2 linked regions of the Neurospora crassa OR74A genome follow. The protein of the gene in region 2 interacts with the protein of the main gene of each other region in a biochemical or structural test. Links are inferred from orthologs where the notes say so. Each region holds a gene or a part of one and is shown on either strand. Other genes may lie near its edges. The genes, in order: NCU10777 and arp-3.

Region 1 (3,353 bases), on a different chromosome or scaffold from region 2:
GCGCTCTCAGGGAGTGGCGTGGAGATGGTAACTCTGGTAATACCCTTGCCGTCGGGATCGACTAGGCGCGGTTGGATGGAAGGCTTGAGGCCGTCTAGGAGTTTCTCGACTGTGGAGCATTTCGTTAGCGTTCGCTTTCAATAATCTTCCTCGACACTGCTTCGATATTCCATGGGGATCGGAAAAGGAAACATACACAACCTAGGCACGCCCGGCAAGATGTGCACATTCCCATTAACCACCGCAACTGGCACCCAAAGTTCCTTGCAAGGAAAGAGGAACTGCTTCGCCAGGTCTCTGTTGACGTCTGTCGGTAGCTCCACCATACGGAGCTTTGCGGTGAGAACGGGCGAGGGCTCGTCCCAGTTGAACGGTGGCTCGCCCTTGCGAGGAACAGAAAGCTTCTTCATGAGTTTAAAAGCCTCTTCGTTCAGCTTGAGAGGCAAACCGAAGGCTTTGGCTATCGATTGGTAGGTAATGTCATCGTGGGTGGGGCCGATGCCTCCGCTATTGTTCAATGAGGTCAATGATGTGTCCTGGACACTCGAAGAAAACTCGGTGTTGGTAGTACCTGGTGACTACAAAGTCATAACGGTCACTCATACGGCGGACAGCCTCGACAATTTCATCTTCGTCGTCGGCGATGACTTCAATCCTCTTGAGATTCTGATATGGGGCATCTACAGTGAGCTTGGTTCTTCTCGGGACTTTAGAGTGGATGGCTGGAGCTCACGATTCCCAGGTTGAAGCACCATTTTGCCATGTAGTTGGAATTAGTCTGTAGTAAGTCAGCATTGGCGCGTCAGGGCAAAAATTTACGAGTTCTCGACTCACATCTTTGGTCTACACAACAACAGAGAACAGCTGTTAGTCTCATTTTCGGCTATCACCCTACTAGCACGTCTTGACTGGACCTGCCTTTCCACCCAAAACCTCATCACCGATAATCAAACACGCTGCTGTATGGATAGTCCGCGCATTGCGCTCATCTGCCGTGACTGTTGAACCCATAATGCTGTTGAAGAATGCTGTTGAAGTCCGGCGCGGAGCTGATGTTGATGGGGCAACAAATGACGTTATCGCTGGCCGTAACAAGTGCCGAGCAATCTGGGATAAACGAGAGAACATGAAGGTTTTAAGTCCAGGAGAAGTTTGTCTTGTAAGACAAAACAGATTTTTGAGGTTGAAATAACAGAAGAGAGGATTGAGAGGGAAGTCCACTGCAAGATCACAACCACAATGGGAATGAGATCGGGTCTCCGGCTTGTCTTGCCCGATGCGTGGTCGCGGCACTGGTGCCTGCCATCGCCGTCCATTAACATGATCCCCGCCCAGGGAAGGAGGCTAGGCGGCGCCTTCCCCGCTCCGTTTTAGCGGGTCAAGCTGTTAAGCTTCCGCGGGCTAATGGCCGGGACAGCCCCGCCATCAGTGAGGAATCGATAACAGCTTACGCTACGGGGCAGATACCTCAGCAGTTGAGCTGTGGACTTGGCAGTGATGCCATGCGGGGCCGACTTGCGTCCCTGGGACGGGAGCCTGGACGAGGGCGGTGTCTTGTACATGACAGCTCAATGCGACATCTTTTCGAGCTTCAACTCTTTTGCTACTATCCCAAAGCTTTGCGACATTGCCTGTTCCCCTTCGATTTCCCTCGCGACCACTTCCTTCTTCTTGCCGTCCGAATCTTGCGTGTTCGACCGACCCGAAAACAGCTCTTCACAATGGTGCGCCGCCGCTTTCCTACCTATCGCAACATCCGATCCATCCACACCACCAGCTCCTCTCTCCAGCTTCTAAGCTCTTGAAAGAAAGCAGCTTCTCGAGATTCTCAAGAACCATAGCTGATGCCGAAAATGCCAGGCCTCCGAAGCAAGACTCTACACTTTCTCCCAAGAAACCAAAGACCACCTGCGCAAGTTCCGCCTTGGGACTTCGCGCTCCAACGACCCCCAGGCCGTCATCTGTATGTATGTTCCCGTTATCCCCCCCCGGACCCTATCTCTGGCTATCGGTACAGCAGGTCAGAAAAAACTAATAGGTGTATCGCGCAAAACAGACCTGATCGATAAGACAACCAAAGAGATCAAGCAAGACGACGACAAAGTTGTATACAAGACCCTCGAGGAAATCGGCGATGACCTGCCCGATCACAGTCCGAGATTTGTGTTGTTGAGTTATCCCCTAACTCTTGTAAGCCGCCCTACTCGTCGCCCTGCTCGTCAAACATATATATCCACCTGGTCTTCTCGAAGAATGGCTGGGTGTAATGGAACAGATGAGAACTGCGACTGACAATGGCGTGGAACAGCCCTCCGGCCGACTATCGGTGCCCTACGTTATGCTCTACTACATGCCCTCGACATGCAACAGCGCAATGCGCATGTTGTACGCGGGTGCCAAGGAGCTGATGCGCAACACGAGCGAGGTGACTAAGATTATCGATATCGAGTCGCCGGAGGAGCTGGAAGAGATTCCGGCCAAGCTTGGGGCTGCTTAGACGTGTGGCAGTAAAGGGCGCCGAGCTGACAGCCTTATTATGGATGGACGGACGGGCACAAAGGTTGGTCTCCAGAGCGACCAACAGGGCCCGGCGTGAGCTTTCACACAGAGCTGGCAACTGGGACGAGGAACAAGCAAAGGGAGGCCATTTGGAATGGAAGGCAAAGTACAGCCAGATTCTGGATCATTCATGATCTTCTCGTTATATAAACGCCGTGATATCCCAGCCTTACAAAGCCAAAAAGCAGTCCCTGAACTCCGCCCATGCTATGGCCATTACTTCGCTCAAGCGTCATCCTCCTCCGGCATCACGACCTCCGGATCCAATCCCATCTCCGTCGCCAGCCCCTTGACCACCCCCTTCAAGGCCCTACACGCCGGGCTATCCGGGAAGCTATCAAAGAAGCTCTCGCCATAATCGCACGCCATGCCAATCCTCGGATCAAGCGGCACGCTCCCCAAAAACGCAATCCCCATCTCCTCCGCAAGCTTCCTCCCGCCACCTGTCGTTGCCTTAAAGATCTCGCTCTCGTGCGTGCACTTGGGGCACACAAACCCGCTCATATTCTCCACCAGTCCCAACACCTTGATCCCCGCCTTCCGGCAAAAATCAATCTCCTTCCTGACATCCAACAGGGACACTTCCTGCGGCGTGGTAACCATCACAGCGCCATCAATCCCGCTCTTTTTCAGGTACGTGTTCACGCTCAAGTGCTCATCCGACGTGCCGGGCGGCGTATCCACCAGCAGGAAGTCCAAATCGCCCCATTCCACATCCTTCAGAAACTGCTTGATCAGCCCGTTTTTCTTGGGCCCGCGCCAAATAATCGCGTCGTCGCGGTTCGGCAGCATGA
Region 2 (4,207 bases):
TACCCTACCTACCCATACCTATGGTACCGACCTCTATGAAGGCATGCAGAAAGTTGCATAACCTTTTGCTCCTTGCCCGGCGCAAAGTAAGCAATCTGATCACTGAACCCTCCAAACTGTGAATGCTCTCTGGGAACACGGTCGGTTTACTGTGAGGTGACGTCCGAGCATGTCAGGCAACATCTTTCAACATGACAATCGAGCCCAGTCCTGATTAGAATCTAATCAATGGGCTGAGAATAGGAACAACATTGAAAAAATGAAGAGAAAAATCAGCAAGTTGTGAAACTGATGCGAAGCTATCGGTTAGCTTGCCCGATGGGAGTTCGGCCAGTTCCAGAACTGTCGGGCCATATCAGGCCACCCGGCGCGAACCGGTGGTCGTGGTGCTGACACATCCTTGCTTACCGAGAGTTACAGTGAATGCCGTCAATGGCTTGGCACGCCGCCTCCGGAACCAGCCGATCGGTACCATTAAGCCCCCCTTTTAAGGGGACCGTTGCTCTGCGCAACGGATTCCTAAACATCAACACAACAACAGACACATTGGCCGTCTACGCTGACCCAACTTCACTAGCATTAAGTAGTTCCTCTTTTCTATTCATCGCCATTATATAAGCATCGGCGCCCGCTGCCTGCCAAATAAGATGCGGACTCGCTCCTGTACACAAATAACTACGCTTAAGATCCACCAGGTCCTCCGAGCAGAGCGAACCTGCGCACGATGCTGGGTCCATATTCTTGGTACTGTAAAGATCCGTCAGCAACCAGACTGCCAATGGTAAAAGGGTAAAGAAACATACCTCTGCCTTGGTGTGGCAGTACGACCGGAACTCGGGCGTCTGACCGAGCAAGCTACCACCAAACCACGGGCCGTGCCGTTGCCTTTTGTGGGTGATAACCTGGACATCAAGACCACCGCTCTTTGCTCCACCGCTGCGCACCTCGCTGGCCTTGATTCGCGTATCGACAAGCTGCTTGATATCGCGCTGTAGCCTGCGACCAAAGTCCTTGTAGAGCGTGCTGCCACCCGAAAGAACAATGTTCTTGTAGAGACCACGACGGACATCGATGGGCGAAGACTGAATGACACCATCAACAACCACGGGCAGGGGCGTAAGGAAATCGGACGAGTAAATCTCGGGGTTGAAGAAGATTTCGGGCGCCATGAAACGCTCGTAGCCAACATCAACCGTAACTTGGCGGCCACCGGGCTGGGTAATGGTGTGCTTCAGGAATCGGCTGCGATCGCGGTCGTACTTGGCAAACTCCTTGACAATATCCGGACAGACGTAGCAGTACTCCTCCTTGATCTCCTGGGCCGTCTTGAGGGACGAATCGGGCTCGCCGCGGTCACGGAGAAGCGACTGGACAAAGTAGGTGATATCGCGACCGGCAATAGGGATCGACTTGATGGACGAGCCGATAACGTAACCTTCGGCGACCGGGATAACGTGTGTCACACCATCACCCGAATCAATGACAGTACCGGTCAAGGATCTGTCCTGGACCTTGGATGATGTCCAGGAAGCCGCAAGGGCCAGAACGGCCTGGACGGCAATGTAGAGACCGGCGCAGTTGAAGGATTCGAAGAAGATCTCGGCGGTGTTTTCGCGGTTCTCGGGAGGGTTGAGAGGCTGAATCGACGTGTCAGTGCTGCAGACGTAGTACTGATGTGGCTTGGAAAGTGTAGTCTTACGGGCTCAGTGAGGAGGAAGTGGTGGTCCTCAGGCTCTACTCTCAGATACTTGAAGATGGAGTTGGACCAGAACCTTTCCATGTGATCCTAAGCTCCAGTTAGCTCTAGGCATTTGTGACATGCCATCTAGCAGCCTGAACGCACCCAGTTCTCGATCTGTCCGTGTCTGATGGGATAGTGCAACCCGTAGCCTAACACCGTCAGCACCCATTTCCGTTGAGGCGGTGTAGACCAACGTACCAGGTCCATTGGCGGCCGCTACGGCCTCGTCGCCGATAAAGTAGTCGAGGTCTTCGGTTCCGCGCTTTGCTGAGAGATGGCCACCTGGACCCGCGCCGCCGGTGAGGAAGGATGGCTTGTTGGCTACGGCGGGGCGGCCAGAGCCCGAGCCGCCGGTGCCTGCCGAGGGGCTTTTGGTCGCGATGGCCGTCGGGAATACGAACGAGGGGGAATCATTGCCGGCGAAACCTGCAGACGACGAAGAGCTTGGTCAATCGGTGGTCATTGGATATCTTGGGGTGTCGGAGTCGCGAACCTAGCTTGGAGAACCCCGTGCCGCTGGTTAGGGGATGTTAGCGATGACGGCCCCGGAGCTGTTAAGGAGCGGGCGGGGTGGAGACGGGACACTTGGATGCACGTACTTGTCCATGACAACGGCGGGGGTTGTGTTGGCCATTGTTGCGGTGGTGTGCTGCTACGCGCAGCTCGTGATGATTGCGGTTTGGTAAAGCAACGGCTGTTGTTAGTTGGTGATGGATGAAGTGACGGGGCGGGAGCGTGGATGGGTAGTGGATAGGCCAGGCGGGAAATGGAGGTTGATGTCCAAGATTGTACGTGCCTGGCCGAGCTAGCTCTCCTTACTCGTCTGGCTGACAGCGCTGCGTGGTACTGTGGAGGTACCTGTGCGGCTGTGCGCCAAGACCGCGAGGTCCCCGTATGGTACGGCGGTCCATTTAGTCAGTTGTGCATTTCCAGCGACGGGACCTACGCCATAACTGGAGATGACGGAACCAAACACCTCGCTGCCACCTGCGCGCCATCCGAGCCCCCCGAAACCTAACCGATGCCCCGGTCCCAAGCATCGGAGTTTGAAGCACACGGCCCGGGCCCGGACGATGATGGCTAGGAAAAAGTGGGGCCGATCGGTATCAAAACTGTAGCGACAAGGCCAGCCAGACAGGATGTGTCCTTCTAAGAAGGAAGGAGATACTGAATGGAAAATCACCTCCAGCCAGATTCCCTCACACCTGCCATTTCTGTCGGATTCATTTCAGCTTCATCCTCTCGAAGCAAGTCCACTTTGCGGAGAAGCTACACACACTCACAGCTTCTCACTTATCACAACGAATCATCAACCTGTCCAGTGTCCACATTCCGTTTCGTCTCTCTCTCCGTCTCTCTCTCTCTGTCGTATTCTGTATTTTGCCACCTTTGCCTTCACACATCTTCATCCCGCCCACCTACTGTATCCAAAGGGACTCTTCACCCCTCGGGCCACCCTGAGTGCATCATCTAGCTCATTGGGCATCGCTCCAATCTCAAATACCCCTCAAGACATTATCACTACCGAGCATTATTCCCATTCATTGTTTTAGCAGGTTGCTTTTACGAGGGACACCAAGTCCGACCACCCTTTTCATCTCATCCACCCGTTCCGATCTTCTCCAACTCTTCGCCCTTGCCTCGATAAGTCTTTTCGCCCATCTTTGTCCCAAGGCACAAAAGTCACCCATGACACACCAAAACTAAGGACTCTATGTGCCCTCAGAATACAGACTCGCTTGAAAGACACATGCTCGATTACCAGACAACTCGACCTCGCCAGATCACACGCTGCTTCGACTATCTCCTCGAGTCGTTCTATCACAGCTGCGCCCACGATGAGCAGCAAAAATGCCGAGCCCGGCCATGGGTCACCTGAATCAGATATGGACATGTCGGACAGCTCCTCAGAGTCAAACTGGTCTGGTGATCATGAATACGGATTGGACGGTGGTGTCGAAAGGATATGGAAGCGTACGACGAAGCCAGTTGCGGCAATCTTTGTCCACGCAGGTGCAGGGTACCATAGCATTACGAATGAAAAGGTTCACTTGGAAGCATGCAGCGAGTAAGTTGAGTCAAGAGTCATCAGGTGATCCCTTGCTGATGCGGTTGTAACTAGAGCCTCCCGTGTCGCCATGAGGTTTCTGAAAGCCGGTGCTTCTGCCCCCGAGGCTGTCGAAGCTGCTATCAGGTGTTTGGAGGACAAAGAGATTACGAATGCCGGCTTCGGAAGTAATCTCAACATGGATGGAGTTGTCGAATGTGACGCAACTGTAGTCGACCATCTGGGGAGGAGTGGTGCTTGTGGCGCTGTTTCGGGTACGCCCAAACCGACAGTGCCACATATGAGCGGCCAGAAACGACATGCTGACACTCGTTGACATATGCAGGCATCAAAAACCCCATCTCGCTTGCCAAGTTAATTCTGGACAAAAGTAGTCAGCCTCTTTCCCTCCGAAGAGT

Evidence for each region.
Region 1: the proteins of arp-3 (region 2) and NCU10777 form a complex in vitro, tested with the Saccharomyces cerevisiae proteins (2 studies listed by BioGRID). The link is inferred for Neurospora crassa OR74A from reciprocal best matches to the Saccharomyces cerevisiae genes ARP3 and AIM7.

What each region holds. Positions count from the first base shown.
Region 1 is NC_026504.1:5,112,172-5,115,524, reverse strand, and holds NCU10777 (GMF family protein), read left to right. Parts: upstream 1-1,578; 5' UTR 1,579-1,721; coding exon 1,722-1,724; intron 1,725-1,860; coding exon 1,861-1,963; intron 1,964-2,056; coding exon 2,057-2,190; intron 2,191-2,308; coding exon 2,309-2,497; 3' UTR 2,498-2,759; downstream 2,760-3,353. Other genes in the region: NCU08824 (molybdopterin binding domain-containing protein), read right to left, coding at 1-109, 197-507, 572-666, 734-778, 835-843, 919-1,011; NCU08825 (cytosolic Fe-S cluster assembling factor nbp-35), read right to left, coding at 2,785-3,353. UniProt on the Saccharomyces cerevisiae protein: May be involved in mitochondrial organization and biogenesis.
Region 2 is NC_026502.1:2,534,387-2,538,593, reverse strand, and holds arp-3 (actin), read right to left. Parts: upstream 2,568-4,207; 5' UTR 2,376-2,567; coding exon 2,341-2,375; intron 2,258-2,340; coding exon 2,235-2,257; intron 2,168-2,234; coding exon 1,940-2,167; intron 1,891-1,939; coding exon 1,844-1,890; intron 1,787-1,843; coding exon 1,700-1,786; intron 1,638-1,699; coding exon 804-1,637; intron 748-803; coding exon 682-747; 3' UTR 520-681; downstream 1-519. Other genes in the region: NCU01757 (asparaginase), read left to right, coding at 3,580-3,809, 3,864-4,063, 4,135-4,207. UniProt on the Saccharomyces cerevisiae protein: Functions as ATP-binding component of the Arp2/3 complex which is involved in regulation of actin polymerization and together with an activating nucleation-promoting factor (NPF) mediates the formation of branched actin networks.